4 linked regions of the Saccharomyces cerevisiae S288C genome follow. The gene in region 1 interacts genetically with each later gene. Each region holds a gene or a part of one and is shown in the gene's direction. Other genes may lie near its edges.

Region 1 (7,061 bases):
TTGGCTGTACCCATATTGATTTTGCTCAGTTGCTTACTTGACCACCTTCCTGTATCATTCTTGTGAAAGCACTTTTAATACTATCGCGATGAGGTTTGATTTTGAAATTTTTCATTGTTTGAAGGAAAAGTAACTTTTCGGGCCAATAGAGAAATAAAAATAAAAAATCATGTAGTGTAAGTTAAAGTGGGATTTCTAGGTGACGCTAACGCAGCCTCGATACCCAGGAAAGAGGCCGCAATAGTGTACAAAGCTTCGAATTTAAGTGATTAAGGGTGTTGGAGTATACTGAAACACGCTTTTTGGCCATTATGAAAAGGTGTGCTCCTGCCGTATTAAGAAATTATAATTATAAGAAGGGTATATGGAGTACCGGCGTACCTGATCATATAAGGAAGCTGCTTCGAGATAAATCGACGTCACCATTATGCTCACAGGATGAGAGAAACCTGGTCTCATATTTTATGGCGCGCGGAAGTGTTCCTCTAAAGTCGGTTGGCAGTGGATTAACAAAGAAAGCAACAACATCAATAACAAGTAATTCAGCTACCACAACATTTGAACGACAGTACCTTATAAAGTATCTTTATCGGCACCAGGCCTATGGGAACGTTATAAAAATTGCACAGAAGTTTCTTTATACCACTATTGGTTCACAAAGATTGTTAAAACAGGATGCCTCATTACCTGAATTGAAAAAGTTCCTTCTCTCTTTATTGATTTTACAAAGAGGTATTCAATTAGATCAGGCAATCTCTGATATCATACAACGGTTTCTATTAACACAAAAGACAATGGTGATAGACCTCATTAACTCGATTTTCTCTAGGATGGTTATAATGAATATGCATGAAGAAGCTGTATATAAATGGGTCAAATGGATGAAACTAGTGAATGGACATTGTGAATTTACGAATTATATGGAGAACAAGATAGTTTTGAGAAACTTTTTATCATTCATGAGGCAATCAAATGTTCGCCCCGATTATTTATCTTATTTGAAAGCAATTCAGCTAACGCAAGGGCCCGCAATAGCGTCTCAATTTGCAACTACGTTGTTGTTCTTATTAACTTATATTAGGAAATTTTCTTCTGCAGAAGCAGTTTGGAATTACAAGTGCGAACATAACCTGCCGATAGTGAGTTCTGACCTGACGTGTATTCTAAAGACGTATTGTCACATGCAGAAGTTTAATTTGGTTTCGTCAACATATTGGAAATACCCTGATGCTCAGCACGACCAAAACCAATTTGATTATCTTTTGGTGGCTCATTCTAGGCTGCATAATTGGGACGCCTTACAACAACAGTTCAATGCTCTTTTCGGTATCGGTAAGCTACCTTCCATACAACATTATGGTATTTTGATGTATACTATGGCCAGAATTGGTGAATTGGATAGTGTCAATAAACTATATACACAGTTATTGAGGAGAGGTATGATACCGACATACGCTGTTTTACAATCTTTACTATATGCACATTATAAAGTCGGAGATTTCGCAGCCTGTTTTAGCCACTTCGAACTATTCAAGAAATACGACATAACGCCTTCAACAGCAACGCATACCATAATGCTTAAAGTGTATCGTGGTTTAAATGACCTTGATGGTGCGTTTAGGATATTAAAAAGACTAAGCGAGGATCCTAGCGTGGAAATCACGGAGGGGCACTTTGCTTTATTGATACAAATGTGTTGCAAAACTACGAACCATTTAATCGCTCAAGAATTATTCAACCTTATGACTGAACATTATAATATCCAACACACTGGAAAAAGTATCTCTGCATTGATGGATGTATATATTGAGAGTAACAGGCCAACAGAGGCAATAGCATTATTTGAAAAACATTCAAAGAATTTATCTTGGAGAGATGGTCTAATTTCAGTGTATAACAAAGCCATCAAAGCTTATATTGGTTTACGAAATGCCAACAAGTGTGAAGAACTTTTCGACAAGATCACAACCTCAAAACTGGCTGTAAACAGTGAATTTTACAAGATGATGATAAAATTTTTAGTTACACTGAACGAAGATTGCGAAACGGCATTGAGCATCATAGATCAACTAATAAAACATTCTGTAATCAAGGTGGACGCTACACATTTTGAAATAATAATGGAGGCATATGACAAAGAGGGTTATCGTGACGGTATAATTAACTTGTACAAGACAATGTCACAGAATAAGGTACCAGCGAATTCCAAAATTTTATATTATATATTGAAGGCCGTTGCCAAAAAAAGCCTACAAAATAATGAGGAAATCAAGGAAACGATTAATATGGTAGAAGACATCATGGAAAATGCTGCCAATGGAACTCTCGACGTTACGTATAACAAACTGCATCCCTCGGTCATGGCATGGCCAATGAGAATGATTGTGAAACATGATAGCCCACAGCGGGCTTTAGAGTTATACAACCGGTACAATGAGCTTTTCTTCAAAAAGCATGATTGGATATCAAATAATAATAAATTTGTGATGATGAGATCATTGTTGGTATTACTAGCTCAAATTGAACAATGGAAAGATTTCGAAACACTTTTCGCTAAATACATGGATCGTATTGAAAACATTGAAAACTTGCCATCATCTACAACGCCAAATATTAAACTAAGAAGCATATTCAGCGGATTGTTCCCTTATAAAGTAAGTCAGTTGATTGCAATGAATAAAATCGATGAGCTGCCATTACTGTGGAAGAAATTGCGAGAAAAAGGTTTTATTTTAGATAATATATCGTGGAACAGCGCTGTAGAAGCGTTATTTAAGGATCCAAGAACCCTTTCGTATGGTATGAAAATCGTTGATGACACACTAATTCATGGGTATAATTTGATCCATAAATTTAGACTATTAACGAAACTATCCGAGGATAAGACGCAGTCCAGTGATAAATCTTGGCCAACATTAAAAATGAAGGAAAAAGAGCCCAATAAATTTCAGCCCAGACTATACTTAAAAAGCGATACATATAACAGTATAATGAGGCAGTTAGACACATATTTGGACGGTATTGATGATTTAAAAACTTTAGAAGATCAGGTACGTGACTTCATATCAAATTACAAGTATTTTATGAAAGATTACTTATTAATGCCAAGAAGCAAGATCAATAAATGGGAACAGATTGAAATGAGACATCTTTCATATTTTAAAGAACTGAGGAAATCTAAGAGAGTATTACCTGTGAGTAAATTCTAGAAATGCATATATCATATTGTATAATCAACTGCATATATATCAAAAAATCATGTAAATAATTAACAAAAATTGAGAGAGCAAAGACTAGTCTAAACTTTGTTTTTATTTTCCACGGTCAGTGTATAGTTGCCTACAGTTTCACCGTAAGTTAGCAAACCTACCCATGGTTGAACATTCCAGTGTAACTTGAAAACCAAATCCTTGCCTTCGAATTTTCCATCTTCAATATCCCAGATAGAATACTTGGATCTTAGATCGTTCACATCAATCACAGCATCATCCTTGCTTTTTATGATCTTATCCCAAAATGTTACCTCACTTGTTATTTTTTCAGTACTGTTATACTCAGCAGTTAGATAGACAAAAACTTGCTTTGTATTCCAATTGAATAGGGGAGTGAGATCTGTATTTAGATCAAATTTAATTTTCATATTTTCCTTTGCCTTGCCTCTCTGTGAGCCAAAATATCTACTTGTTCTAACATTTATTAAAGTTTTGACGTTATCGATATTACTAGGTACTGAGAACGCGTTATTATTGATTAATTGATAGTATGAGGATGCCATGATGAATACAACCATTACAATTCCCATTGAAAAGGCCTGGTTCGATACATTCTGGAATCTTTGGACAAAGGAGAACATTGTTCTGGAGAAGTGCGGCAATGCTAGCTAGCTTTGTGGGTCTTTGTCTCAGTGGAACTTAATAGGCTTAACAATCAACTTTTTTCTCCACGTCTACCGACTGTCATGAAATTAGTCGACCTTCGTTCTGCGCCTTTGAAATGAAAAATTTCAACGTAATTAAAAAAAGATAATAGATGAAAAAAAGGTAGTATTCACGTGTGGCTTCAAGAAGACACCAAAGGCAGTGGTCTAAGTTTGTGTTGGTAGAATGGCTGGCAAAGCAGGGAGGAAACAGGCTAGTTCAAATGCAAAAATAATTCAGGGCTTATACAAGCAAGTCTCTTTGTTTTTAGGAATGGCTATCGTACGTCTATTCATTTCACGTAAGGTTACAATTGGCCAATGGATTAAGCTGGTGGCTTTGAACGTTCCTATGTTCGTTGCTCTGTATATCATTGTGCTATCCGGTAAGCCCAAATATGATGGCAATCGCGTAGTAAAACAAGGTATAGACTTGAACGACAATACAAATTTGATATCATATTTTTTTGATTTGATATATCTATCACTTTTTGGTAACATTGGTATTATAGCTTTCAGGACATTCAAATTTTGGTGGTGTCTACTATTGTGCCCCATCTATGCTGGTTACAAGTTATATGGCCTCAAAAACATGTTCATGCCTGGCGCTCAACAAACTCAGGCAGATAATCGCTCAAAAAATGCTAATGAGGGACAATCCAAATCCAAAAGGCAGATGAAAAGGGAGAGGAGGGGTGAAACTGACTCTAAAATTAAGTACAAGTATCGTTAAACAAAGCTTTTCAAACGTTTTTGAAATTTTTTGCTTTCTATAGAGGAGTGTGAGTATATACAAAATAATATTTAGATATACTTAAAATGAGCATGCTACACAGGTATCTTCCAAAACACTGTCATAACGAAATTCTTATAGCCGTTCCATAAACGGGAACAATATGGGGGCAAAGTACGGCTGACATATGCATCCAACCTAAGGACATATTGTTTAAATATCTGCCTCATAGATTCACTTTGTAGGTACCTTAATTTGAAAAACCATACATAGGTTAGTCCTGCCAACATTGTACCCACTACCTCAAACGACACGTTTGCTCTTCTTACCAACAACAAGAAAAAATTGAAGGGCACTAAGAAGAGGCCCACACGTAGGCCGCAGATAATCTCAAATACTTGCGCCATCTGTAAGAAAAATCCATTGTAGTTTTGGATGAATACCGTTATTTTGGAGTTCAACAAATTTTTCAAATTAAGTGGTATCAAAGGCAAAAATGGCAAAAGGTTTTCCTTAAAATAGTTCAGGAAGTGAAAGATTGAAAAGATAACGGGACTGTATAACGAGCCGCTGATTATGATGTTAAACTGTGATAAGAGAAAAAGTATGAATAGCATGGCAAAATACTGCAAATTATCCAATTTCTTCATCTCTTGGCGCAAAAGCGTAAAATTGAACTTTAACTGGTCACTTTTGAAAAACTGGTAAAGAACGATGGCATATGTAACGGATATGTAAAATAATGATCTTCTATAGCATGACAATTGGTTTTGTTTGGACGTGATTGAAAGATGAAATTGTATAAAGTTAAAGATGGTTAAAAAATGGCCTATAAACCAATAAAACTGGGGTTGTTTTATTCTTGATTTGATAATGGTGCCAAATGGTGCCATGGGACGATTCCTGGGAACGGTCATATTGTTTTGTGCTAATTTTTTTTTACAATTATTCGAAATGAGTCTTGTTTGATCGTGGCCCCTTCTTTATTTCTGATTCCAAATCGAATTTTCAACTCTCTTATTAATATTTTTTCGGTGTGGATGAGAAGAAAAAAAATTTTTCTAAACTCTTCGAGAAAAGAACAATGAAAAGAGAACAGTAAAACGTCATAAAGCCTGTTAGTTCTTGACATAAAGACGGTAAAAGAATCGCATGTTTTCCAATGGAATCGAGTAGTCGAGTTTTGGGTCCATTCTATACCAAATACTGTCGTTCTCGGATACTAGTGACCATGGACCTGTCGTTCCCTTGTCCTTTCTATTGCCTACTAAGATAGTATCGATAAGAAATTGGATTGGGAACTTCTTGTTGTTGATGGTAATGTGAGAATAGCTTCCTGCACTCTCTAGTATGAGAAGATGGCAGCCTGGGGCACAGTTCTCGTTTAACCGTTGCAGAAATTTTATACTCTCCACTTTTTTCTGTGTAAATAGTTCATTTGTAGTAAAAAGTAGAGTTATTAGGTCGAGGCCTTGATATATCTTGATATCTTGTGGCTCTGTCATTTGTAGGCAGTCCTTGTGGGTAAAGTTGACGTTAAATGACTCTGCTTCTGAATCACCATATAGCCATTTCGACTTTATTGTAGCTGTTAGCTTTTCAACAACTGTGGACCAGTCGGCGATATCTACTAGTTGTATGTTTAAATTTCTAGGCTTTTTGTTTACTTCGTTGTCTATTTTCAAAGCAGAGGCAAATTTAGACGAAAAATCTCTCGATAAAGTGAATATGCTCGCTAATGCAACCAGCTCACCACCAGCGCCGCCACCTATGCAGAGCACATTTGAGTCCTTGTCATCAATTTCGCATCTGATAATCTTTAGAAGCTCAGGGAAATGTGCAAATACTGATGCGTAACTTGTTGCTCTGGACGGTGACCAACGACAACAATATGCTATTCTTTTCGAGTCGTTATTGAAAGCAGCATTGTAATCTCTGTTATAAAGGTCAGATTTTACCGCCTGTATTTGTTCAGTTAACGGTGACTTTTCATTGTCTTGATCTTTTGGATATAGCTCTTCTAAGAATGTTATTTTAAAAAGATCGATTATTTCCTGTGGTGGAAGCGTTGATTTATTGTGAACGGGCAATTGGGCCACTTTTTTAGGATTCATGTTAATTGGAAACTGAGAAGAGTAATGATATTGTGAATAAATTGGTATATATTTAAAATATACTGAAGAAGTTAAAAAGGCAAAGCGTCTCATAAGCAACATCAAAAACGTGCAAAAAGAGACCCTGCGATGAGATGTACTCTAATTCAGAAAGAGAAAAAAAAAAAAAAAAAAAAAAAAAATAAAAATGCACTAAGGGCCCAATGGATTTCTTTTTTTGATATTGAATCATTCATTAAACATATTTATTAGGTTTAGAAGATTTTAATTATACAAAACTTATGCTCTATTTAAAATA
Region 2 (5,146 bases), on another chromosome or scaffold:
GAGTATTCTCATCGGTGGCGGTCCGCTCTTTATCTGAACCTGTTAGGTCTATGATAAAATCTTTGTCATCGTCGTCGGGTGATTTCACGAGCGTAGCATCATCACGGTATTCTTCATCTTGGCTGTCATTTACGTTTTCGCTGTTCCCTTTCAGCTGCAGAGTTTTTGAGTTTTTCACAGCTGTATCGTCATCGCTTAGTTCATTATAATTAACACTTTTTTTCGTACTTCTCGTACGCCTTCTACGGATAAAGCCCCCTTCTTGCATGATTTTTCAGTTGGTACACCAGTTATACGGCCAAGAGTATCTAAAATTACCAAAACTACTAAGGTTTGAAAACACCACGCAGCATTACGTCGTTATACTGTCGGTTTTATTAGTCCTTAAGGTCCTATCTGTGCATTTTTTTTATAGCGTTAATCCGAAACTTGAAAAAAAAAAGAAAAGGGAAATGAAAAGGGAAGAAAAAGAAACGGAGGCGCAGGAGGAAGGAGGGGGGAAAAATAGAAGCAACGCAGAAGTCCCCACTGTTTCCCTGGCAACCATGGCGGGAAAAGGGTAACAGATTTTTTCGAGGAGTAACACATTTTGTGCTGTGTGGGTTGGTAGTTTTGGCGGCTAAAAATCAAAGGGAAGAGGGGATGTACTACTTTCAAACCTTCTCACTTTTTGTTGATTTTGAGTGCTGTAAGGATTGTGGTTTAGGCATTTTGACAAGCTCCTTAAAATCTAAGCGTCGGAACAACTGACGAACTTTAAAACCATAAACTCAAAAACCGGTCAACATGAAACCGTTACGGTTTCTCGGTATCCTATGCTTTAAGCTAATGAAACATCCACATAACGAAGATAAAAACTAAAGCACATCCGATCTGAGTTTTGAGCTGGGCGGCAAAAACAAAACTGTCAGTGGCTGGCTGATACAGGGCACGTGAGAGGTCACTGAGGACGAAGGGTGCGGCTCACCCGGATTGGCTGAGTCACCTTCATCGCGTCCACGTCACTCCTCGTTCGCTTTTTTTTTCCCTTTTCTTCTTTTGTGCACCACTCAGGGCACGAGAAAAGCTTATTTTTTTCGTGCACACTCCGTTCTTAGTGGTTGTTCCACATCTTTTTTGTGCTTGTGCGTTTGCCAATGCTAAAATGGAAATTGCCTTATAACGTGGGCCATGTCATGCCGTGTCCTCTCGTTTCGTAAAACTTACCACACGTACCGGACTGTTCCGTCCTGTCTCGTATCGCACGGGTGCCGTATCGGCTCTAATTATTTTATCTCTCTATTTTCTTTCTTTTCTCTGCGCTACTCCTTTCTCGATCGTTGCTACTCCCGTCGCTAGCCACTGGTCTCCCGCGTACTGTACTCCATCTTTTTTTGGCGTTTTTCCCCTATCCAACTCGAACAAGGTTTGTTTAAATTTATTTTATTTTTCTTTTCTTCGGTCGGTCGTTCTTTTCCCTTCCGATTATCAAAGCAAAAGCGCATTTTTTTCTTTGTCTTTTTGTTTTTTGTTTCCTGTTCTCTGTTTTTTTACAAACCACGTCAGGAGTTCAATTGAGAGAACTAGAATCAACAAAGCCAAATACGACAACGTCACTAGTCTTTGAACCAGAGGCGTATTCCCGTTACCTCTTTTCCCATATTTCTGTTTTTCTTTTTCACTGCTATAAGCCTTTAGACTAGTACTACAACTACAACAGCAACAACAACAAACAAAACACGACTGGAAAAAAAAAATTAGGAAAAATGAATCCGGGCGGTGAACAAACAATAATGGAACAACCCGCTCAACAGCAACAACAACAGCAACAACAACAGCAGCAACAGCAACAGCAGGCAGCAGTTCCTCAGCAGCCACTCGACCCATTAACACAATCAACTGCGGAAACTTGGCTCTCCATTGCTTCTTTGGCAGAAACCCTTGGTGATGGCGACAGGGCCGCAATGGCATATGACGCCACTTTACAGTTCAATCCCTCATCTGCAAAGGCTTTAACATCTTTGGCTCACTTGTACCGTTCCAGAGACATGTTCCAAAGAGCTGCAGAATTATATGAAAGAGCACTTTTGGTAAATCCCGAACTATCAGATGTGTGGGCTACTTTAGGTCATTGTTATCTGATGCTGGATGATCTGCAAAGAGCTTACAATGCCTATCAACAGGCTCTCTACCACCTCAGTAATCCCAACGTACCGAAATTATGGCATGGAATCGGCATTCTTTATGACAGATATGGTTCGCTCGACTATGCCGAAGAAGCTTTTGCCAAAGTTTTGGAATTGGACCCTCATTTTGAAAAGGCAAACGAAATTTACTTCAGACTAGGTATTATTTATAAACATCAGGGTAAATGGTCTCAAGCTTTGGAATGCTTCAGATACATTCTCCCTCAACCTCCTGCTCCCTTGCAGGAGTGGGACATATGGTTTCAGTTGGGTAGTGTTTTGGAGAGTATGGGAGAGTGGCAAGGTGCGAAGGAAGCCTACGAGCATGTCTTGGCTCAAAATCAACATCATGCCAAAGTATTACAACAATTAGGTTGTCTTTACGGTATGAGTAACGTACAATTTTATGACCCTCAAAAGGCATTGGATTATCTTCTAAAGTCGTTAGAAGCAGATCCCTCCGATGCCACTACATGGTACCATCTCGGTAGAGTGCATATGATTAGAACAGATTATACTGCCGCATATGATGCTTTCCAACAAGCTGTTAATAGAGATTCAAGAAACCCTATCTTTTGGTGCTCAATCGGTGTTTTATATTACCAAATTTCTCAATACAGAGACGCCTTAGACGCGTACACAAGAGCCATAAGATTAAATCCTTATATTAGTGAAGTTTGGTACGATCTAGGTACTCTTTACGAAACTTGTAACAACCAATTATCTGACGCCCTTGATGCGTATAAGCAAGCTGCAAGACTGGACGTAAATAATGTTCACATAAGAGAAAGATTAGAAGCTTTAACAAAGCAGTTAGAAAACCCAGGCAATATAAACAAATCGAACGGTGCGCCAACGAATGCCTCTCCTGCCCCACCTCCTGTGATTTTACAACCTACCTTACAACCTAATGATCAAGGAAATCCTTTGAACACTAGAATTTCAGCCCAATCTGCCAATGCTACTGCTTCAATGGTACAACAACAGCATCCTGCTCAACAAACGCCTATTAACTCTTCTGCAACAATGTACAGTAATGGAGCTTCCCCTCAATTACAAGCTCAAGCTCAAGCTCAAGCTCAAGCACAAGCTCAAGCACAAGCACAAGCTCAAGCACAAGCACAAGCACAAGCGCAAGCACAAGCACAAGCACAGGCGCAAGCACAGGCACAAGCACAAGCACAAGCACATGCACAAGCGCAAGCACAAGCACAAGCACAGGCACAAGCACAAGCACAGGCGCAGGCACAACAACAACAACAACAACAGCAACAACAACAACAACAACAACAACAACAACAACAACAACAACAACAACAACAACAACAACAGCAGCAGCAATTACAGCCCCTACCAAGACAACAGCTGCAGCAAAAGGGAGTTTCTGTGCAAATGTTAAATCCTCAACAAGGGCAACCATATATCACACAGCCAACAGTCATACAAGCTCACCAACTGCAACCATTTTCTACACAAGCTATGGAACATCCGCAAAGCTCTCAACTGCCACCTCAACAGCAACAACTACAATCTGTTCAACATCCACAACAACTTCAAGGCCAGCCTCAAGCCCAAGCTCCCCAACCTTTAATCCAGCATAACGTGGAACAGAACGTTTTACCTCAAAAGAGATACATGGAAGGTGCAATCCACACTTTAGTAGATGCCGCCGTATCCAGTAGCACCCACACAGAGAATAACACAAAGTCTCCTCGTCAACCAACCCATGCCATTCCAACGCAAGCTCCCGCAACAGGAATAACGAACGCTGAACCACAGGTAAAGAAGCAAAAGTTGAACTCTCCAAATTCAAACATCAACAAATTAGTAAATACTGCTACTTCCATTGAAGAAAATGCAAAATCTGAGGTGAGCAACCAATCGCCAGCAGTAGTGGAGTCTAATACCAATAATACTTCACAAGAAGAAAAACCTGTAAAAGCAAACTCAATACCTTCAGTAATTGGCGCACAGGAACCTCCACAGGAAGCTAGTCCTGCTGAAGAAGCTACCAAAGCAGCTTCTGTTTCTCCTTCTACAAAACCGCTTAATACGGAACCAGAGTCATCTAGTGTCCAACCAACTGTATCATCAGAAAGTTCAACAACAAAAGCAAATGACCAAAGCACTGCTGAGACCATAGAACTTTCTACTGCTACTGTTCCTGCAGAAGCAAGCCCTGTAGAAGACGAAGTAAGACAGCATTCTAAAGAGGAAAACGGCACAACTGAAGCATCTGCACCTTCTACTGAAGAGGCGGAGCCAGCAGCTTCCAGAGATGCTGAAAAACAACAAGATGAAACCGCTGCTACAACGATAACTGTAATCAAACCTACTTTGGAAACAATGGAAACAGTGAAAGAGGAGGCCAAAATGCGTGAGGAAGAGCAAACATCTCAAGAAAAATCCCCACAGGAGAACACACTTCCAAGAGAAAATGTAGTAAGGCAAGTGGAAGAAGATGAAAACTACGACGACTAAAAAGTTTGCATTCAAAAAATTAATCTACTAATTTATAATCAACGAGAAATGTTGTGTAGCTCACAATTCATTCATTATGTTGTGGATACATATATAAATAAAGAAAAGGCTAAAAAAAAAGGTGGGTAACGTGAATTAGGTTATTTTTCATATATGCACATGTAAATATATGCGTATATAAATATATTATTATTTGTATCATTACATACTTAAAATCTATTATTGCTTAAAAGGTTTTCCCGATGAGCATATGTAATAATATTGGGAATTAAGGTGCATTTTCGTATCCTTCATTGTGTATCTACAATCTCTTCAAGAAATTCCCTTATTTGCTTTAAAACGGTTTCCCTTGTTGAATCCGATACCATTTCTAGAAAAAAAAATTCCACTGTTAGTAACGTTCTCTTTTCAATAAATTTAGTGATAAAATATTCACATACCTAATGCTTTGGGTTCTACGGTGGATAAAATTTGGGTAAAGTTCGTAGATTCATTTATGT
Region 3 (8,092 bases), on another chromosome or scaffold:
CCTCCGCGAGACGTTTGAGAATTAAGCCGCACGTGCTCGCCGCAGATGTTCTTTCAACGACAAGAGAACACCATGCTCCTACTATTTACGCATTATTTACACAGTATACCTTTCTGATGATGAAGTTTGAAGGTTTAAATTCTGGGCAGTAGCTGTTTTTACGGTTGTCTCAATATTTCTCATTCTGCTTTATAATCACGGGAGTATGACAGCATTACCAATCTCTATCAAGATGAAGAAAGATGAGCATGATCGTTTTAAGCTCACATGGAAGCTGTAGTTATTACCAGTATATCCTCTTTATATATAGCGAATGTAGATTTCTGCCAGTATCATACTGGCAGAAATCATAGTGAACGGAGTTAAATCCGCGGAAATTAGAAAAACGTTAAAAGGTTCCATGCCATATTACTAATGGGGTAGAGGCTGATATACGGGGAAAAGGATAACAATACCAAGACATTTATAGTATTCCACATCACTAGACGTATGTAATAGACAACTTCCCCTTGGAATTACCAAAACGCCAAAAATTCGGAATTACAAGAGAAAAGTTAGATCAAAGGAACAACAAGATCAACGAGAAAGTGGGAAAGTTTATTGCCCTCAGCCGTGCCAATAAGAATAGCGTCACAATGAAAAGAAGAAGCGATGCTTTGTTGGGAAGTTTCCAGGCCACCAACGTTACGCCGCCAAGCGATAATAGTAATAGTACGGCCGGTGGAGCCAATGGAAGTAACTCAGGAACACCAACTTCTACTAGCGGTAAGAAGAGAAACAAGCTTATAAAATCTTGTGGCTTTTGCAGAAGGAGAAAACTTCGTTGTGATCAGCAAAAACCTATGTGTTCTACATGCATTTCTAGAAACTTAACAACCTGTCAATATGCTGAAGAATTCAACAAAAACATCGAAAAGAAAGCTACCTATGGTCCCTATCCTAACGCCGATTTACTTAAGAAAGTTGAAGAACTAGAAAACAAAATACGTATTCTAGAAGCTGAAAAAAACACTAATTCGTCTGCGAGCTCCATGTACACTTCGCCAAATTTCCCTCCTTTAGGCACTAGTGTAGGTAGAGGTTCTACTGAAACTTCATCTCCATTACCCGATGGTGTAATAAATCCATATGCCGACCGGTACTACCTACAAAGTAAACATTCCGGAAGATCAACACTATACGGCCCCACTTCTATGAGAACCCAAATTGCAAATAGTAATTGGGGGTTCATTGAAAAATATAAACAATTATGGGCGAAGGTTAAAGTAGAAAGAAATAAATGGAAGCAAAACAACCAAAAAACGATGTGCAGGGAACTAGGCCTTTTGGATGAGTCGGATTGGCAGCCAGATCCATTAATCAAACAGATATGTCGTTTCCTACCATCATATAACAAAGCTTTGTCTATTTTAGATGATTTCTTTAATGATGGAGCATGCAATGAGATCAACGTGATTCTTGATAAGGCAAAAGTTAGAAGAGACTTTTTAGATTATTTCATGCCCGAAAAAGAGGTAAAGGCGGAAGGTGACAGATCCATAGTTTATATTTTATCCAATCCAAAGAAAAATTATTACAAAGCTGCTGTGATACTATTAATCCTATGTCTGAAATACTTCCATACAGATGTCCCAACCCCAATTGAGAAGTTCTTTACTTTACTAAAGGGGGCCTCCACCGCTAAGGTGTTCTACATTGAGCGTGCACAAATGTTAATACTTTTCTACTACCATCGTGAAACATATTCATTCGGTGGAGATGGCTCCGATTTGGTTAATATAAATGAATGTTTAGTTACTACGGTTACTACAATAGGGTTGCATTTAAACATTAGAGAAACTTTCAAGGAACATGAGGTTTTTATGGGTAGCATCGAAAGTTTAGAAAATGTCTGGTTAATGGCAATATTTATCGATTATAACATATCTTGTAACGTTGGTAGACCCTTATTGATTAACAAATTTTATCTAGACGAAAACCAAGATCATTGCATATTGAATAGTAAAAGTAAAACATATGAGGGGAAGCTGAAAAGATATTTAAAACTTACAAGGCCAATGTTGTTAACTCTTTATGATAGAGATAAATTCCCGGATTTGAAAGCTTATTCCAAGCGAATTATCAATTTTGTAGAAGAAGAACTTGGTCCACTTGGACATTACACAGGTGAAAATATATCGGAAGAAGTTCCATTAAGGGAAAGTAGAATTTTAAGTATGGCAGTCGGACTATTATTGTCGTTTTATGCACTAATACATTCTGTGCTGAAAGTCAGAAACATAGAATCCAAAAATAATACGTTTCAATTGGTTTTGATCAATTTTTCCATCATTGTGAATACCACAATTCGATGCTATCGTATCGACAAAGCACTTTACCCAGAGAAATTCGAAGCCTCCAACCCGCACTTACCGCCACATATGGCGTTATCAATGAGCCTCACGGCAGGGCTTTTTTCCAAAACATTGGTGTTTTTTTGTTCTCTGATCTACTTTAAGTTGACGCTTTTCGAAAATGGACTATGTCTATCCAACGATATGGAAGTTGGATGGTCGGATTTGACGAAATTGACTGTTCCTTTAGACAAGGATCTATCTTTAGGTACAGCAATGAGCTTGTACTCGTCAATCTTCGATCGCTTGTTCACGGTCGGAAATAAAGAATTAATACGCACAATGCATAGATCATCACAATTTGTGATAGAGCTAGCTATTGAAAGGACCTATAGGACTATTCTTGGCAACGTTATTGAATTCAGAAAGTTGACCGAGGAAACATGGCTAGCACAAATCAAACAAGAACTAGATCCGCAGAGCGATAATCCATCATCAGAAGCTAAAATTGTGAGTGATAGGCAGCGGGATCTCAGCCTTGCAGTTCCAACGCCCACGCCCTCAATAATTCCAATGTTACCCTCGCCTGGTGAAACTAAGAACCATGCAAAGAGTCAATCAGAGATCATTCAGATGCTGACAGATGAATTTTGGGCAAATTATAACTCAGGCTGGGAAGAGTTGATTAATCAATCTGAATTTTCCACTCTTTTCGATGATTACAAAGACAATTAATGCTAAGTCGAGGCAATCTCGCGGCGCGACTACTTTGAAGCCTTTTTTTAGTTCTTTTTTATGATCAAAATGTTTATATAATTACCCAGATTATCAACCCACTTCGATGATGGGCCGCACCTGACAGAAAAAAATGAATCAACTGGCTACTAAAGATGGTACAAAAGTTCACTTTATTCAGATATAGAATTGCTGAATCGCTGCTTACCGCCATACGCTTGACTACTTTTACACCCGTACACCACACATACAACCGTACGACTACTTTTCATGCAACAGCGTGCGTTTCGACATGTCTTACACACGAGTAGATCATCCCACTGGAAAAATGGCTTGTCACCTGAGGCAGATTTTGGCAAGCCCACTGTTTTTCGCAAATTATGTACTACATGCAGCCATTCACTACCCTTCGAGCGACATACGCGGCGACATCCTGTAGAGCAATGTTGTCCTTACCAAGACGTCTTGATGAAGGATAAGCATACGCGAAGAGATTTCCTCTCGGAGAGCCTGCAGGGAGCGGCGCACCTCGCCAGCGGAGTTATCACACGTAATGGTACTGAGTGAGAGACCCCGCCCGACACCGCACGGCCATTTGCAGAAAGAAAAACAAAGTCCACTACGGCTAATTACTGCAGAATGCTTTTTTTTCTTTTTTTTTGTGGTTGGTATGTTCCCTTCTAACAGGATTCTTCCTTCGGTAGATCCTTGAGGGGTTTAAGGGGTTTTCTGTTTGCGTAATGGCGTAATTGCCAGCTATATATAACATTATCATCACATATATATCCTTATACGTAGCTTGCCCTTATATATATATTGATATGCGGATATTCGTTGAATGTAGTTCAGTCGTAATCGCTACTTATTGGTAATCATAGCAATTGAATGCTTCTATATTCCTTTCTTACTTTTTTTAATTGCGCATTATAAAAAACTTGAAGGTGCATATTTCCGATTAGGGCCATCAATAGTGACCATAATTATCGGTACATTAATACGTCATGCCATTGAATGAAAAATACGAGAGGCCTCCGCAACCTCCTCCAGCATATGATCCCAACCATAGGCCGCCCAGTTCTTCCGAGAACTCTGCCGCGGCGAATGTCAACGATGGCCAGACGCCGTACCATTTTAGACAGGATCAATATTACAATCTAAATTCCAAAACGAGTGGGGCTCCTATAGGGAGCTTCGACGAGGCCTTTCCTACTGAAAATGACAACAAGCCCAGGTGGAACGATTGGCCATTTACCATTTTTTTCCTATGCACGGTAGGCGGATTCATCGCCATTGCTGCCATAACCTTAAGAGCGTGGTCCCAAACCTATAGCAGTACGGGTTCCGGAATATACGATGGTGTGAATACTGGTACGCTGAACACCAATGCTGCCATCCTGCTAGTTTTCGTGTGCATTATTGCCCTAGTATTCTCCGTTTTGGGCCTCACACTTTGTCGAATTTTTCCGAAGCAGTTTATATATTGCGGTATGGTCATCAACCTAGTGGCTTCTCTTGGGACTGCCATCATGTACATGTCTTTGAGGTACTGGTCTGCAGGTATTGTGTTTTTAGTCTTCACGTTCATGACCGCGTGGTGCTACTGGGGTATGAGGTCTAGAATTCCCCTTTCTGTGGCGGTATTGAAAGTCGTCGTCGATGCCATGAAGAAATGCCCACAGATCTTCTTTGTTTCATTTGTTGGAGCGCTAGTTGCTAGTGCGTTTGGGTTTCTCTTCTCAGCAGTCATTGTGGCTACGTACATAAAGTACGATCCTAATAGCTCGAATGGCGGCTGTGACGTTTCTGGTGGCAGCTGTTCGCATTCCAAATTGATTGGTGTTTTGGTTGTGGTTTTTTTCTGCGGCTATTATATCTCTGAAGTAATAAGAAACGTCATACATTGTGTTATTTCTGGCGTCTTTGGCAGCTGGTATTATATGTCAAAGTCTGACCAAGGAATGCCAAGGTGGCCCGCATTTGGAGCATTGAAGAGAGCCATGACTTACTCGTTCGGTTCCATTTGCTTTGGGTCCTTGCTAGTCGCTTTGATCGACCTGTTGAGACAAATATTGCAAATGATCAGACACGATGTTACCTCCAGCGGTGGCGGTCAAATTGCCATCCAGATTTTGTTTATGGTGTTTGACTGGATTATCGGCTTTCTGAAGTGGCTCGCCGAGTATTTCAATCATTATGCATACTCGTTCATCGCTCTTTATGGTAAACCGTATTTAAGAGCGGCCAAAGAAACCTGGTATATGTTAAGAGAAAAGGGAATGGACGCCCTAATCAATGATAATTTAATTAACATTGCACTGGGTCTATTTTCAATGTTTGCTAGTTATATGACCGCTTTGTTCACGTTCTTGTATCTAAGGTTTACCTCGCCTCAATACAATTCGAACGGCGCTTACAACGGCGCCCTAATGGCATTCTCATTTGTTATTGCTTTACAGATTTGCAACATTGCAACAGAAGCCATTAGATCCGGTACTGCAACTTTCTTTGTTGCTCTTGGTAATGACCCGGAGGTCTTCCATCATTCTTACCCTCATAGGTTTGATGAGATTTTTAGGGCATATCCTGATGTACTCAGAAAATTGAGTCACCAGAATGTGTGAAGAGATGTTTATCATATGTCACTATTTCTCCTTGTTCTTCTTAACAATTCTATATTTAATTACAATATTTTAATACTTAATTTTTTCTACTTCAATTACCTTTAAGTTCTATCTTTATTAAATTGTTTATTTTGTTTTTATACATTCTGTGCAGATTAACAATATGCTATTTATTAAATGACTATTCAAACCTCGAATTGATATTCTTTCTTGAATACCATCCAACAAACGCCCTAATTCCTTCCCTCACCTTTCTGTAATCCTTTGAATTCAACCCCTCAACCACGGCCTTCGCCAAATTATCTCTTTCATTAAGGGTTACTTGGCCAAGTTGTTCCACCACTTTGTAAATCCAATCGATGCAAATAGTGGCATCGTTGTTGTTTGCCTCTGTCAATATCCTTAAACATTTTACAATACAACTGATGGCATCTGAATGAGCGGTGTTTTCAAAAGTAGTAACCAGCCCGATGAATAACACTAATATCAATTGGTTACCGTGGGCTATCACGACTTCGTTAATAACTTGCTTCCTCCATTCATCTGGAACAATCTCGATGGACACTGTTGAGATCGGTGGAGTCTTGAACCCCCAGGATATGATATCATCTAAGCAACGCAAGATACATATGTAAGCATCGTAGTTATCAAGCTTATTAACACACTCGAGGGCAACATTCAGTACGGGGCCTAGAAGCTCTGTTGAATTCAAAAATGCGCCAGGATAAAACATTATCAAGTCTGAAATTAATGAGAAAAAATCGATTATTGCCTCATGATAATCGTTTAATTGAAGTTTATCAAACTTGTTGAAATTCAGTATGAACGTCTCGCATTGGGAGAGGGCAAATTTCCAGACAGCATCTTTCAGACTCGGGGATATGGGGAATGATTCATCGTCACCAAATATAACAATAAGGGAACCAGAACACCACAGATAGGAACCGAATCCAGTCGTTAAATAACCTTGGATTAGAAATTCGGCAACAGAAGGTAATATTGGCTCGCAAAATACATGAAATCTCTCAAAAATTCTGCGTAGCAATTTAGCTACTCTTTCTACGATAATACTATCAGTCATTGCACCTGCATCAACTAGCAGAGTTCTTAATGCCTTCCAAATAAATTCTATCCTGGGGAGTAAAGGTTCCGATCCTTGCTGAGGATAATTGTATCTCGGTTTCAATTCTTCAAAAAGCGCATATAGCAAATCAATCTTATCAGCAATCTGTGGAGCCAAGAGCGTTGGATTTGCTTTCCATTGAGGAATCAAAGCCTCGATTTGTCGCAAATTATCATCTACGAGCTTTTGAAATATTACTGAAACTTTGGCCTCTGGCTGATTATTTATTACTGCACTTAATCCTTGACATAGTTCAAATTGTGACTCAATATCAATCGAACTCTGCACGTTGAGGAAGAAATTAATCAACTGATCAATATACCCAACTAATAGTTTAGAGCAGTCCGAACAGAAGAACATTAATGCATGTGATGATGCAGTGATTATACTTTGCATATCCGATGAACCCTCATGCAGTTGAAAACCGTTAAAAATATATTGCAATTGAACTTCTAGTAGTTCTGGATGCTTGGCTGTCCATTCGGTATATCTACCAAGAACTAATGTTGATGCATACCTAATCTTGGCCTGCTCTGGAAGGTTACAAATGATTTTAATGATTTCTGGCAATATAGTGTTTTCAGTCAACGAAATTTCTTTAGCCATAGTCCTCAGGGAAAATAATGGGGCTTCCATTATTTGCCAGCTATTGTTGTTTTCTATTGCGGACTTAATTCTTATTAGTGGTTGCGATAAAGCCTCAGAAGTTCCCACCACTGCAGTACAGTCTTTTAACACATCGCCCATATGATACCTGAAATCTTTAAATTTATCTTCTTCCTCTTTAGATGAAAACTGGCCTGATGGATATTGTAAATGAGTAATTATACCATTTATTAATTTAACAAAAATATCAGAGTAAGCTTTTCTTGATTCTTGATATCTTGGCAAAACTAAACTTTGTTTGAAGTTAAACCAAAAGGGGAAAGTATAGGAAACGACATCTAAGTCTTCATTTTTGCAGGTCAACATCAATAATACCAAAACCATTGGTTTAAAAAAATCGGGGTTTTTAGAAATGACAACTGACCAAGCCTCGCCAGCTTCTACGAATAATCGTGTCATACCTTCTAGGAGATCGTCATCATATTCATCGTTCAAAGGATGGTCTGTGAACAGAGTAGGCAATAGTTTTTCTTGTAAAAGCATTAACTGATGAAATAAAGCAGAAATCAACTGCTCATTAGTAGTATCTCTGCTTTCTCTGAGGATAACGCAGAGACAATCAATAGCGGAATCGAATGCCTCCATGTCACTTTCATTACCATTGGAAATAGTTT
Region 4 (8,090 bases), on another chromosome or scaffold:
CGATATCACGATATCTAAAAGATCATCCTAACCTACCTACTCCAGAACCTAAAATATCTAGAGCAGCGAAAAGAATGGGATTCATAAATACGAACTTGTCTAATGGAGCAATGAATGAAAACAATATAATTTCACTTGCCCCAAGTGCAAATACAACTATAAGTGCATCTACTGCAATGGTCTCATCTAATCAAACCTCTGCAACATCTTTCAGTGGTACAGTCAATGCAGAATCAGAACAAAGTGGGGCAGTGAATGGTACGGAACTATACAATCACACCAAATATAATGACTACTTCAAGAGGTTGTCGATTTTACCAGAAGAGTCAATGAGTAACGGGCATCAAAAAATATCGCATGCAGAGTTGGTTGTTTCCTGTCGGAAGCTCCTATTTAGTTTTACAGAATGCCAACAAGCTATCAGAAAAATCGCCTCTTTCTGTAAAGAGAAGGCCGTAGCGGTTAATGTAGTATCATTATTATACTCTGTCAGATCACATACTGATAATCTGGTGGAGGTCTTGCAGCAAACAGAGAACGAAGACGAATCGCATGATCAGGCGTTAATCAAGCTGTGCCTCACTATCATCACAAATTTTAAACAAATTATAACATTGTTGAGAAAAAATTTTGAGATTTTTTTCAAAGAAGACGATCTATGCTTCATAAGGATGTTTTATATGACATTAATGTGTGCTTATATGGAAATGTATAATGCATGGTCTTTTATCAAAGAAGATGATCAAGTGTCCGGTTCTGCAAGTAAGGCACCCAAGAAACATTCTTTTTCGAGGCACGAGACATCGTCCAGTAGTATCACAAGCGGTGGAGGACCCGCAGCAAGTACGACCAGTACACATTGTAGCGGAAACATAAAATTACTGCCGAAAACAAGGAGCACAAGAACACCATCTGCATCTGCATTGCTTTCAAATAGTAATATTCTGACGGGTGATACCACTGCTGTTCCTCTTTTATCACCAAATCTAAATGGTGCACACACCCATGGTCCAATTTTGGGACACCAAAATGCAATAAGCAATGGAAGTTCTCAAACGAACATGAATGAAGTAAAAACTACTAGCGATACTATTCCAAGGCAACAGCTGCTTCAGCACAATAAATCCATCAGCGATTCGAAAAAAGAGTCACAGGCGCATGAACCTAAACAGCATCCGGTTATGACTTCTTCAATAATTAACGCATCAAATAGTAATAACGTCTCGAATGTTAATATAACCCCACCACCGATGAATGGTGGTGGTGCCGCGAACAGTAGTGCTAATGTAGTGGAGACAAATATTGACATTCAACTGTATCAAACGTTGTCCACAGTAGTTAAAATGGTGAGCGTTGTATATAACCAGTTAACTTCAGAGATATCCAAGATAGCCATTGCTAGCACCATGGGAAAGCAAATTTTGACGGACTCGCTAGCACCTAAAATTCGTGATTTGACGGAAACATGTCGTCAAGCGATGGATTTATCCAAACAATTGAATGAAAGGTTAAATGTATTAATACCGAACGATTCAAATTCAGAGAAGTATCTGACATCTTTGGAGAAGCTGAAAACGTGGGAGATAATGAATTCGTTCTTAAAAGTAATAATATCAATTCTGGCTAATACTAAAATCGTAATGAGCGACGTGCCTAATTTGAATGAGCTGAGACCTAACCTAGCCAACTTGGCGAAGATTACCAAGGATGTCACTGTGATATTGGACTTGAGTTCATACAAGGCTGTATCAGTAAGCGCCAACTCTCCGGAGTAATATAAAAACTTGCATTGTGAGAAAACGCGAACTTTAGAATACGTAATGGGAGGATCATATACCCCATGGTACTGAAATGTATGCTTTATATATATATATATATATATTTATATATTTATGCATGAAAAATGAGGAGTTCGGAAACAGAAGTTTTAAAAGTTACAGATTTATTGTATAAAAGATACACGCCACTGGTTGAATGTAAATGTTAAAATGAATTGGCATGGTCTAAAAATCCCTCGTAAATCTTGCTTAATTCATAATGGTAACCATGGATACCCTGGGATTCCAAAAATATGGGTAGGCGAACTCTTGTTCGTTCCGCGATACCTTTTAACCTCACAATATCAGTCCCATTCAATCCTGCTATGTTCTTGCTGGCTGAAGACGTTTTAGGGACTTCTTTGCAATTATCATTATCATCAGTTAGAATTACAAATATCCTGTCAAGGATGAAGAAGAGTTTGAATAATTTGGATAAAGTGTCATTAATCTCTGAGTCTTCCATATTTTTGAATGTAAATTTTTCAACGTAATCGATGAGATCGTCCGCAATTTTTATTAAATAGGACCCTTGACCAAAATAACTAGAATATCCGCATGTATCTTTTGGGTTTCGGGAATCTGGGCAATGTCTCTTTTCTTCTGATTGAAGTAAATAGTCTGAGTTTGGAACATGGGCAATAGAATACCAAACGAAGTCAACTAAAGTTTTTAAATCCTGCAGCAGCGGAGTAAGACTGGCATAGCCGTTTTTGATATTCAGGCCCCTGGATTGAACAAATTTTCTTTGAATTTGTAAAAGCTGATCATCAACGTAAGAGATGAATTTGGATTGTTGAGACATTGACAATCTTCTCGGGTGTGACGTTCCATTGTGATCATTTGGCAATAATTCACTCAGCTTTGTGGCAGACGAAAAGGGAGAAGACACGTTTATTCTAGGCTGGAAATCGTCAACATCATCGAGCATAGTTACGTCGTTGATTGTGTTGTTAGTTTCATTGTAAACATCATTGAATTCTGGTGTATGATATCTTCTTTTCTTATTACAATTACGCTGCCATATAACGTTGTCTATGTTAGAATTTACGACATCACCTGAGTCTGCACTAATTTCTACATCTGAGTTTGGATCCAAGTTTAAATCATCAATGTCTTTTTCATCTAGATCATTTAAGTTGTTCAAGTCCAGTTGCTCATTCGGTTGAGCATGTAATGGTGTGTTTGGCTCAGACATCAAAATACTGTGTTGAAATCTTTTATTTTTATAATATTTCTTTCCTTACCAGGGCTTGGAGTCTCTACAACAGTTAGCTTACTGTTTATTCTGCCACATTTCCACCCTTTTGTGGGGCTTCTATTTCAAGGACCTTCATTATGGAAACAGGGCGAGGTTGTTTGTTCTTCCTGCATGTTGCGCGCAGTGCGTAAGAAAGCGGGACGTAAGCAGTTTAGCCATTCTAAAAGGGGCATTATCAGAATAAGAAGGCCCTATGAGGTATGATTGTAAAGCAAGTGGTGTAAAATTGTGTGCTACCTACCGTATTAGTAGGAACAATTATGCAAGAGGGGTCCTGTGCAAATAAAAAATATATATCTAGAAAAAGAGTAGGTAGGTCCTTCACAATATTGACTGATAGCGATCTCCTCACTATTTTTCACTTATATGCAGTATATTTGTCTGCTTATCTTTCATTAAGTGGAATCATTTGTAGTTTATTCCTACTTTATGGGTATTTTCCAATCATAAAGCATACCGTGGTAATTTAGCCGGGGAAAAGAAGAATGATGGCGGCTAAATTTCGGCGGCTATTTCATTCATTCAAGTATAAAAGGGAGAGGTTTGACTAATTTTTTACTTGAGCTCCTTCTGGAGTGCTCTTGTACGTTTCAAATTTTATTAAGGACCAAATATACAACAGAAAGAAGAAGAGCGGAATGAGACCGTTGTATAGCTGCAACCTTGCAACCAAAGATGATATTGAGATGGCAGGTGGCGTAGCTCCTGCTCACCTGGAAGTTAATGTAGGCGGCTATAATACAGAGCAGACAATACCTATAGTAAAGCATCAGCTCGTGAAAGTTGGGAGAAATGATAAGGAATGTCAACTCGTTCTAACGAATCCCTCTATCTCCTCTGTTCATTGCGTGTTTTGGTGTGTCTTTTTTGATGAGGATAGTATTCCAATGTTCTACGTTAAAGATTGTTCTCTTAATGGAACGTATTTGAACGGTTTGCTTTTGAAAAGGGACAAAACGTATCTTTTAAAACATTGCGACGTTATTGAATTATCGCAGGGAAGTGAAGAAAATGACATTAAAAAAACACGACTAGTTTTTATGATTAATGATGATTTACAATCTTCTCTGGACCCAAAACTTTTAGATCAAATGGGTTTTCTGAGGGAAGTAGACCAATGGGAAATAACAAATAGAATAGTGGGTAATGGCACTTTCGGTCATGTTCTGATCACGCATAACTCAAAAGAACGTGATGAAGATGTCTGTTATCACCCTGAAAATTATGCTGTGAAGATCATTAAACTAAAACCAAATAAATTCGATAAAGAGGCTCGAATCCTTTTGAGACTGGATCACCCAAATATTATCAAAGTCTACCATACTTTCTGTGACAGGAACAATCACCTTTACATATTCCAGGATCTTATCCCTGGTGGTGATTTGTTTTCTTACCTAGCTAAAGGCGACTGTCTAACTTCCATGTCAGAAACTGAATCGCTATTGATCGTCTTTCAAATTTTGCAAGCTTTAAACTACCTTCATGATCAAGACATTGTTCACCGCGATTTGAAACTAGACAATATTTTGTTATGTACGCCAGAACCGTGCACTAGAATCGTCTTGGCAGACTTTGGTATAGCTAAAGATTTAAATTCCAACAAAGAAAGAATGCATACTGTCGTAGGCACTCCGGAATACTGCGCTCCAGAAGTTGGATTCAGAGCAAACAGAAAAGCATATCAAAGCTTCTCAAGAGCAGCTACGTTAGAGCAACGAGGTTATGACAGTAAATGTGATCTTTGGTCTTTGGGTGTCATTACACACATTATGTTAACAGGGATCTCGCCTTTTTATGGAGATGGTTCTGAGAGGAGTATTATTCAAAATGCAAAAATTGGGAAGCTGAATTTCAAACTGAAGCAGTGGGATATTGTTTCAGATAATGCCAAGAGTTTTGTCAAAGACCTTTTGCAAACTGACGTAGTTAAACGATTAAATAGTAAGCAAGGTCTCAAACATATTTGGATTGCAAAACACTTAAGTCAATTAGAGAGATTATATTACAAAAAGATATTGTGCAATAACGAAGGCCCTAAACTAGAAAGTATAAATTCAGACTGGAAAAGGAAGTTACCCAAAAGTGTTATCATTTCTCAGGCAATACCGAAAAAGAAGAAGGTTTTGGAGTAATCATAGGATTATCTCTTCCTCTTTCAAACTGCGCGTAGTTCAAAATAAAAAGGTATCTGTGTAAAAAAAAAAAAGTAAGTCAATTGTATGATTTTTAAGTAAAAGTTGCCCTTTTCTACTAGAAACGGCGAGAAAAAATGATAGTAGTGTGCCAAGAAGAATATGAAGTTACTTTTTAAAAGATATTCGTCTAGTCATATTGGTAAGCTGATTAAGGACTCTTTAATCACTCCTGAAATACTACCACAGCTAGGGCGACAGCCATCATCGCATAAACGTTTACCAAATAACAAAAGAACTAACTCAATAACTGATAAATGGTTGAAGGATGCGCTAACAAGAAAAGATAAACTGAATGAAGATAAGCTCCAAAATGTAAATTTACGATTAAATGTGGTACTGACTACTCTACAGAAGCTTCGTACATCCGATAATCCTGCTTTGTATTTTGCGTTGTTGAATCGTATTGGCACAGGTCACATAAAATGGCTAAATAAAAGTGGCCGACAGATTGATGCATTCCCACCTGATCGGCTGCCTTTGGAATTTTATCATGAGCTATCTAATATGCTCTATAAACTATCGCTTCGGTCCGCAAATGACAAAATTGCACTAGCTAAATTTTCATTGCAATTATTGGATCGCTATTATTTTCTTAAAACCAAATCTTTAACTATAGAAGGAAAATTTCGGGCAAACATAAAATTTTTGAGGAATTGTACTCTTTTAATTGTTAAATCCCAATCGAACTACTACTTAAGGGCAATACAGCGGTTGTTCGCGGAAAATTCGGAGGGTCAATTATTAGCCAATTTATCCCAGCTGGCATTTTATGTGGAGACCTCCCAATGGACAAGTATGTTGGATATTTTATCCTCATGTGTACCGGATTCTGGTTTAAGAGGTTCGAAGGAGCGTGAAAGAGCTATTCAATTGTTGGAGTTATTTAGTCCATGCCTAGTCAAAAGTCTAAAAGTAATGATAGCACAAAATATGGAGAATGAAGCTTGTCAGATTTTAAGGAGCTTGTCTGAATGGAACTTTCATTTTGATCAGCATGATTCCTCCAACTTGATACAATTATCCCAGAACCATTCTTGCCTCAAAGTTATTGAAACCATGAATGGATTATCATCAACTACCGCTGTCACTAGGCAATTCGGACTTGAAAAATTACCAACTGACGTGAGTTTGAAGCAGAGCATACATATTTTATCAAAAGATAATTTCGAACCTCTCAAGCAAGATTCATTTCTTCAATTTCTATCGTTTAAATTAAGTGATTTGCCTCTGAACTTAGAAGTATGGAAAAAGCACATTAAGGAGGTTGATGACCAAATGCAGGCTGAGTCCAACCTGCATTCCTTAAGAGCTTTTTTTATTGATATGCTACTGTGTCACTTATCTGTGCGCAAGGATTTCGATTTTATGCTTTCATTGGTCGAGCACATAGTATACGAAAAAAATTTATGGCAGCCATTATTACTCACAGATAATATAGTTGGAAACAAAGAAAATTCCACTTTTCATTGCCTCTTTCATGGCGCCTCTCAAGATATTTCTACCAAACTTACTCTACTGGCATTGTATAACCAGTTGAATGAAATCGGCTATCAATTTACCTCCCACGATTTTCTCTCGATGTTGAAAGTCTGCAAAAACTACTCTGATTCTGATTTTTTCTATTTTGCTTTCTATAATTTGTTGGTTACACAAAGTCACAAATTTTTTCTTTTCGATAAGTTTAGTGATAAGTTTTCGTGGAGGTTGCCAATACAAATCGGAGATGCAATTTCTGAATGGCTATCCAGCTTAGAAATTGATATACAAGAAAACACCGATAGAGTTTTGCAGATAACAGATGACGTCGGCGAATGGTATGTTGAGAATAAACCATTTAAGTCAGAAAAAGGGACCATTCAACCAATAAACATAATGGAATTGCGCAAAATTTTTGGGGAGCGAAAAACTCTATTTCATATGGATTCAGAAATTTTCCAAAAATCTAAAGCAAAAAGAGATAAAGAAATGCGGAATGAAGCTTTATTTACCGCAAATGATGCGGAATATAATTTTGCTGCGGATGTATCCTATGCAAAGAGAGTAGAAAATCTATTTTCTTACATAAGATCTAAGCAAATGCAACAAAAATAATGATTATATGTAAAATTTGCCGTTTACATTCTATAAAGTGATATCAGACTCTAATATATTCGCCAATTCATGTTTCTGGCAGGCCACTTGTAGAGCTTGGAGTTGCCTGGTGACACCTAATTCCAAAAATATCTGGAACATACCTTGTAAAGCGACATTTTGATCAGTCATAAATTTTGATTTTGTTGCGGCGTATTCACGTTTCACAAGAACCAACAACCTTTTCAGTATTATGTTGGATAGATTCTTCTGGTCAGCATTTTCTCTCATTGTGTGGTAACAAGATATTGCCAAGAACGGGAAGAATTTGATCACGCTTACTCTCAATGTCGTACAATCTAATAAATGTAGGTTATAGAACTTGGCGAAAACACCCTGAAAATTAAAATTTGGATGTAGAACAACCAACCCAGATTCCATGATTCTAGTCCAAAATTTTACACAATGAATGGTGAATTTGATGGTGTCAAATCTCATACCTCCTGTTAATGGATCCTTGTTACGATCGCGTATTCTTGATTCAGCGATTTGTTTAGCGCTTGGAATTATTCTGATTAAATCGTGGCATAATTCCAGCTGTTGTGAAGGAGACAAAGATCTGTAGTATACGATAAATGAATCTATTGATGAAGTAAGCTGAGAATCTGTAAAATGTATTGCTCCAGCGCTCACTGCATATCCTTTCCAGAATTCTTCACTTAAACCTTGCTTGTGACGGAAATTGAG

Evidence for each region.
Region 2: mutations in SND2 (region 1) and CYC8 together harm fitness more than expected from each alone (negative genetic interaction), as found in Saccharomyces cerevisiae (2 studies listed by BioGRID).
Region 3: mutations in SND2 (region 1) and PNS1 together harm fitness more than expected from each alone (negative genetic interaction), as found in Saccharomyces cerevisiae (2 studies listed by BioGRID).
Region 4: mutations in SND2 (region 1) and MEK1 together harm fitness more than expected from each alone (negative genetic interaction), as found in Saccharomyces cerevisiae (3 studies listed by BioGRID).

What each region holds. Positions count from the first base shown.
Region 1 is NC_001144.5:263,961-271,021, reverse strand, and holds SND2 (Snd2p), read left to right. Parts: upstream 1-4,103; coding exon 4,104-4,649; downstream 4,650-7,061. Other genes in the region: FYV7 (Fyv7p), read right to left, coding at 1-14; PET309 (Pet309p), read left to right, coding at 312-3,209; signal peptidase complex subunit SPC3, read right to left, coding at 3,299-3,853; PER33 (Per33p), read right to left, coding at 4,745-5,566; BMT6 (25S rRNA (uracil2843-N3)-methyltransferase), read right to left, coding at 5,768-6,865. UniProt on the Saccharomyces cerevisiae protein: Functions in the SND pathway, a SRP (signal recognition particle) and GET (guided entry of tail-anchored proteins) independent pathway for targeting a broad range of substrate proteins to the endoplasmic reticulum.
Region 2 is NC_001134.8:462,370-467,515, reverse strand, and holds CYC8 (transcription regulator CYC8), read left to right. Parts: upstream 1-1,745; coding exon 1,746-4,646; downstream 4,647-5,146. Other genes in the region: DNA repair protein RAD16, read right to left, coding at 1-268; SUS1 (Sus1p), read right to left, coding at 4,937-5,016, 5,087-5,146. UniProt on the Saccharomyces cerevisiae protein: Acts as a component of the CYC8-TUP1 corepressor complex which is involved in the repression of many genes in a wide variety of physiological processes including heme-regulated and catabolite repressed genes.
Region 3 is NC_001147.6:634,536-642,627, reverse strand, and holds PNS1 (Pns1p), read left to right. Parts: upstream 1-4,069; coding exon 4,070-5,689; downstream 5,690-8,092. Other genes in the region: YRR1 (Yrr1p), read left to right, coding at 636-3,068; YOR161C-C (uncharacterized protein), read left to right, coding at 3,361-3,507; mRNA transport regulator MTR10, read right to left, coding at 5,871-8,092. UniProt on the Saccharomyces cerevisiae protein: Probably involved in transport through the plasma membrane.
Region 4 is NC_001147.6:992,138-1,000,227, reverse strand, and holds MEK1 (serine/threonine protein kinase MEK1), read left to right. Parts: upstream 1-3,716; coding exon 3,717-5,210; downstream 5,211-8,090. Other genes in the region: SOG2 (Sog2p), read left to right, coding at 1-1,775; TFIIH complex subunit TFB6, read right to left, coding at 1,984-3,015; MNE1 (Mne1p), read left to right, coding at 5,373-7,364; CIN1 (Cin1p), read right to left, coding at 7,395-8,090. UniProt on the Saccharomyces cerevisiae protein: Probable protein kinase required for meiotic recombination.